Nothobranchius furzeri: one gene and its partner. The protein of the gene in region 1 interacts with the protein of each later gene in a pairwise test. Links are inferred from orthologs where the notes say so. Each region holds a gene or a part of one and is shown in the gene's direction. Other genes may lie near its edges.

Region 1 (3,662 bases):
GGATGCAGACGCGCTCACGTAGCGGATGCAGACGCACTCACGTAGCGGATGCAGACGCGCTCACGTAGCCGATGCAGACGCACTCACATAGCGGATACAGACGCGCTCACGTAGCGGATGCAGACGCGCTCAAGTAGCCGATGCAGACGCGCTCACATAGCGGATGCAGACGCACTCACGTAGCGGATACAGACGCGCTCACGTAGCCGATGCAGACGCGCTCACATAGCGGATACAGACGCGCTCAAGTAGCCGATACAGACGCGCTCACGTAGCCGATGCAGACGCGCTCACATAGCCGATGCAGACGCACTCACATAGCGGATGCAGACGCACTCACATAGCCGATGCAGACGCGCTCACGTAGCCGATGCAGACGCACTCACATAGCGGATGCAGACGCGCTCACGTAGCGGATATAGACGCGCTCACGTAGCCGATGCAGACGCGCTCACATAGCGGATGCAGACGCGCTCACGTAGCGGATGCAGACGCGCTCACATAGCGGATGCAGACGCGCTCACATAGCCGATGCAGACGCGCTCACATAGCCGATGCAGACGGGCTCACGTAGCGGATGCAGACGCACTCACATAGCGGATGCAGACGCGCTCACGTAGCGGATGCAGACGCACTCACATAGCCGATGCAGACGCGCTCACGTAGCCGATGCAGACGCACTCACATAGCGGATGCAGACGCGCTCACATAGCCGATGCAGACGCGCTCACATAGCCAATGCAGACGCGCTCACGTAGCCGATGCAGACGCGCTCACGTAGCGGATGCAGACGCGCTCACATAGCCGATGCAGACGCGCTCACATAGCCGATGCAGACGCGCTCACGTAGCGGATGCAGACGCACTCACATAGCGGATGCAGACGCGCTCACATAGCGGATGCAGACGCACTCACATAGCGGATGCAGACGCGCTCACGTAGCCGATGCAGACGCGCTCACGTAGCGGATGCAGACGCGCTCACGTAGCCGATGCAGACGCGCTCACGTAGCGGATACAGACGCGCTCACGTAGCCGATACAGACGCGCTCACGTAGCCGATGCAGACGCGCTCACGTAGCGGATGCAGACGCGCTCACGTAGCGGATGCAGACGCGCTCACGTAGCGGATACAGATGCGCTCACGTAGCCGATACAGACGCGCTCACGTAGCCGATACAGACGCGCTCACGTAGCGGATGCAGACGCACTCACATAGCGGATGCAGACGCGCTCACGTAGCCGATGCAGACGCACTCACATAGCGGATGCAGACGCGCTCACGTAGCCGATGCAGACGCACTCACGTAGCGGATACAGACGCGCTCACGTAGCCGATGCAGACGCGCTCACATAGCGGATACAGACGCGCTCACGTAGCCGATGCAGACGCGCTCACATAGCCGATGCAGACGCGCTCACATAGCCGATGCAGACGCGCTCACATAGCCGATGCAGAAGCGCTCACATAGCGGATGCAGACGCACTCACATAGCCGATGCAGACGCGCTCACATAGCGGATGCAGACGCGCTCACGTAGCGGATACAGATGCGCTCACGTAGCCGATGCAGACGCGCTCACATAGTGGATGCAGACGCGCTCACATAGCCGATGCAGATGCGCTCACATAGCGGATGCAGATGTGCAGACGCACTCACGTAGCGGATGCAGACGCACTCACGTAGCGGATGCAGACGCACTCACGTAGCGGATGCAGACGCACTCACGTAGCCGATACAGACGCGCTCACGTAGCGGATGCAGACGCACTCACATAGCGGATGCAGATGCGCTCACGTAGCCGATGCAGACGCACTCACGTAGCGGATACAGACGCGCTCACGTAGCCGATGCAGACGCGCTCACATAGCGGATACAGACGCGCTCACGTAGCCGATACAGACGCGCTCACGTAGCCGATGCAGACGCGCTCACATAGCCGATGCAGACGCGCTCACATAGCGGATGCAGACGCACTCACATAGCCGATGCAGACGCGCTCACGTAGCGGATGCAGACGCACTCACGTAGCCGATGCAGACGCGCTCACGTAGCGGATGCAGACGCGCTCACATAGCCGATGCAGATGCGCTCACATAGCGGATGCAGATGTGTAGACGCACTCACGTAGCGGATGCAGACGCACTCACGTAGCGGATGCAGACGCACTCACGTAGCGTATGCAGACGCGCTCACGTAGCCGATGCAGACGCGCTCACATAGCGGATGCAGACGCGCTCACATAGCCGATGCAGATGCGCTCACATAGCGGATGCAGATGTGTAGACGCACTCACGTAGCGGATGCAGACGCGCTCACGTAGCGGATGCAGACGCGCTCACATAGCCGATGCAGACGCGCTCACATATGAGCAGACTAATCAGCATTTGTAGCTTAATTTCTGCTCATAATTGCTTTTTGGTGATGAGAATCTTTCAGTCTTTTGAGTGATGTTGGTCTGCAGTGTGCAAGTAGAGTCCATACGGGCTGAGAAAAGGAGGTATTCTCTCAGTTCTCAGGGGTCATGCCAAAGAAATCCATGGATCTGTTTTCCTAGAAGGATTATTAACCACTGCAGCTGATTCAGATTGGAGCCTCTTTATCACCAATGCTGTTTAGACAATGGGGCTCATGTCTTCTGGGTGTTGGTCATTAGCTGTCCGAATAATTCTCATATTTAGACACTGATCTGATGAGCTACAGCTCATCTTAGAGGTTTGGTTATATGTTCTGTCTCCCCAAAAGTAAGTAAATAAATAAATAAATAAATATATAAATAATTAAATAAAACAATATTTTGGGTTCACAAGTCATGTTTAAATGAGTAAATCTCCATTTCAGCCAGAAAAGATAAACAACAAAAATGTGCTTTTAGAATCAGCCATGATCATAAAAAATCACCTTTGAGTGTCAGAAACCTGAAATGTAAGCCCCCCCCCCCCCACCCCACCCCCCCCTGATGTCGGGGCGAATGCTGCAGCTTGTCAGAGCTCAACAAACGAGGCCCGCTCGGTTGGTGGAATCTGTTCTTTGTCAGCAAAAAGCTGCCGAGCAAAACGGACAGAACACTTTTCTGTAGAGCCGACGTGTGACAGCAAGTTCCATAGTTCTACTTTTTTCTATTTGTTATTGAAAAATGAACATGCAAAAATCCTAAATTAACACGTATTTCTCTCTATGATGATGATGGCACGCAGAAATAAAAAGACATAAATGCAAAGAACTGACAACACTGTGTTTGAATTCCAGACCAAACGCCAACTCCAACACGTTTCTTGAAGAACTGTGAAGAGGTGGGACTGTTTAGTGAGCTGGACTGCTCCATTGAGCAAGAGTTTTGCAAAGCCCAAGAAGAAGAAGACAGCAAACAGGTAAACTTCAAATAGCAACGTGGGTTTCAAAGGAAAAAACCCCAGAAATACCTAAAACCACAGCTATCAACAGAGTTTAGGTCATGATTCGTTATCTAGAGCCATCATAAACCCTGTCACACATAGCTGCCTGCATGAAACACTCTAAACAGAAACACCTAGACCTCTTAAAACCACACTGGGGACTTAAAAAAGCAAATAGCCACAAGGGTTTGAACTCATGTTGTGTATTTTCTCCTCTTGGTTCAAAATGTGAAGTTGTGTTACCTTTCCTTGTGCACAATGCAATAC
Region 2 (3,073 bases), on another chromosome or scaffold:
CACGGGCTGTACCAAGCAGGAGACGCAGCTCAGCCTGGAAGCAACAGGCGGGATCAGCCCAGACCAGCAGTGGGCTCAAACGAAAGCTGGCGGATATGTTTACGTTATTGATGCTGAAACATCCGGTCACGGGCTGGATGGATGGTCTGATTCGACCAGACAGCTCTCGGGCCGTGCATGGCACATTTCCTCCAGCGGGAAGCGCGCGCTTAGACCCACAACAGCGCCATCAAAAGCCCACACTTCCTTACTGAGGAAATGCCAGCTTGGTGAACCAAACCCTCCACTTCACAGGGAGTGTTGGAACGTGACGAGTGTTTATTCCCAAAAGTAGGATCTGAATCCGGGAACATGCCGTTTCCCCACGCCCCAGTCTTGGTACATTCTCTGGAAACGCGTCAGGCGCGCGCTGCATTACTGTAAACGACTTTTGGCCCGAACCTTCGGTTCTGTGTAATCATTCACTCAGAGCTCATGACTGCGCGCCGGAACAGGACACCCCCCATCCCGAAACAACACTTTATTACACCTGCAGGAATGCTATCACGCTCAAAGTGTTTAGGAATATTCACAACTCCCAGATCCTTCTCCAGAACGCGTTTGGGTAATTCTTCTGCTCCTCATATCCATTAACTGTCCCAGCTCGCGGCCGCCTCCTCATGATTGGAACCGAGAGAGATTCACGTGCTGAACGAATCCTGAACACAATGAGTCACCAGATAAACAAAGTTCCAGCAGACCGCCGGGATATCCGACGGAAAGTCGGGAATTACGCGCAAGGACGTGCGTACATTTGGAACGTGCGTGTGTTTGATTGTGCTCAAAACACAAAGTTTATTCATTTAATTTAGCCTCAGATCAACTATAAACCACAGTTTAACCTGACTGTAGGGAAAGTTTCACATATGTTCTTTAGAAAAGTCAAAAGTGAGCAGAAGGGTACAGATTTGGGTTGAAAGGAGAGGTTCTCCAGTCCAGGCCACTGGTTCCGGGCCTGTTGTAGTGAAATGAGATGAAGTGGACACCTTGGGCTTTCCCACATGATTCACAGCATGTGTCATTGTCCCTCTCCAGGGGTTCCAGTCCATGACGATTGAATCATTACTATAAAATGTGGGAAATGTGTGAATGTGGTAATGGTGGGTGGCGGTGGAGGTGACACTGAGTTTGAGCTGTGAGCTACACAGACACTAAGATGCTTATGGGATTAAATAGCGTCCTTTAGCTGCTCACCAGTTCCCCAGTTTTGGATCATTCCCCCCTCCACTGTGCATCCACGCCCCCTTTTTCCTGTTTCTCATCAGCTGCTTGTGTCTGTTCTTGCAGAAGTACAGGGTTGACATGCCCGGCTCCAACAGTGCCTTCATCCCAACGATAAATGCAATCACAACCAGCCAAGACCTGCAGTGGATGGTGCAGCCGACCGTCATCACCTCCATGTCCAACCCCTACTCCCGCTCGCATCCGTACAGCCATCACCTGACCAACGGGCCGGGGCTGCTGGCCCACAACGCCCTGGCTCGGCCCGGGGTCATCCGCTCCATCGGCGACGCCAGAGGTCGCCGCAAAAGGGACGAGCAGGTGAGAGACGCCCGAAAGTTTTCACACGGATGTCAGACGTCTTATTTAAAATAACGCCTCTGTTGTTCTGCGCAGCTCTCCCCAGAGGAAGAGGAGAAGAGACGAGTGAGGCGTGAGAGGAACAAGTTGGCCGCAGCCAAATGCCGCAACCGCCGGCGAGAGCTGACAGAAATGCTGCAAGGGGTGAGTTTAGAACCTGGAACCAGAACCTTTCTGTCTTCTACACCACGTTCAGTCATTTCCTAACAGAACGAGCTGAATTTAAGCAACACGAGGCTCAAAAGGCAGATTTGTGCTGAAAGTCTGAGCTCCACTCTTGCTTTTACAACCCGGTTTGACTCTTAAGTGCGAGGTCTGAGCGAGGAGCTGACAGGTGCTGAAAAGCTTTTTGTCTCGGCCAGCTGCAGACAGAGGTCGGGCTGTCTCACGGCTCACAGACAGCAAAGGCATCTAAATGGGCTAATTAGTGGAATTACTGTGAGGTTTGAGCTTGTCTGGTCATAAAGAACAAAAAAACTGGAACGGAATGTGCTGTAGGCAGCCGTCTGCATGAAAACAGGGTGTTTCGTGAAGGAGGACGCCGCTGGTGGAGACGCTCTGCGTCTAAGATCTCCACTTCCATCCTTCCTAACATCAAAATCCGGAAGAGGAGCAGAAATTTCAGGAGAAACTCGGCTTCAGTGTTTACTTTTCCCTGGACTGATCCCAGTCGACGCTTACGTCACACCTCTTTGCTCCTGTTGAACAACTTCCTCGTACCTTTGCCCTTGAGTCAAAGTTCTCAGACAGCACGTCGGCTTTATCTCACTTGATTGGACGACGCGCTGCAGAAGTGCATCTAATTCCTCCTCCAACACACAAACAGTCATCCGGCAAACTCGGGCTGCAGGGTGACATGCTGGGCGGGGTGAGACGCCAGCAAACCCTGCCCTCTGTGGGATCTCTGGGGAGTCGCAGACAGTCTGCTGCTCGTTTCATCAGATTTAAAAACAAAAAGTTCAAATAAAAACTGGCGGCAGCAGATTATTCATCTCATTTTTTATAAAAGTGTTGAAATCTGGAGCTAGAACGCCTCTGAAACACGCAGAATGAGTCACAGAGGAGAAAACATCTTCGATGTTCTGGAGAGCCTTCAGAACACGTCTTAGTCCGTTTATCTAAACGAGCTTTAATGCAGGAAAGCTGATGAATAAAACTCAGAAAGATTTCTTTTAAAAATGCAGAAAAGTTTAATAATCAGCCTCGTGGACGAAGAAATCGGGTTAAAAACGAATAAATGTAAAATTTCTGTATAACAAAAATGAAGATTTTCTTATTAAAACATAGAAATCACTTGTTTTATGAGACGTTACGATCTGAGGCACCATTCTAGTCTTTAGATTTAAAAATCTCTTTAAAATTTCTGCATTGTTTACGTTCTGTTTGTTTTTAATTCATCTTTATTTTCTTTTTTTGTGCTTTTTATTCCAGATTTGGCTGATTTCTAGTTTTT

What was found.
Region 2: the proteins of creb5b (region 1) and fosl2 interact in binary tests that used the Homo sapiens proteins (3 or more experiments, as listed by UniProt). The two-hybrid records come from large-scale screens. The link is inferred for Nothobranchius furzeri from reciprocal best matches to the Homo sapiens genes CREB5 and FOSL2.

Annotation. Positions count from the first base shown.
Region 1 is NC_091745.1:35,745,488-35,749,149, forward strand, and holds part of creb5b (cyclic AMP-responsive element-binding protein 5), read left to right. Parts: intron 1-3,249; coding exon 3,250-3,371; intron 3,372-3,662. UniProt on the Homo sapiens protein: Binds to the cAMP response element and activates transcription.
Region 2 is NC_091758.1:42,821,301-42,824,373, forward strand, and holds part of fosl2 (fos-related antigen 2), read left to right. Parts: intron 1-1,326; coding exon 1,327-1,581; intron 1,582-1,656; coding exon 1,657-1,764; intron 1,765-3,073.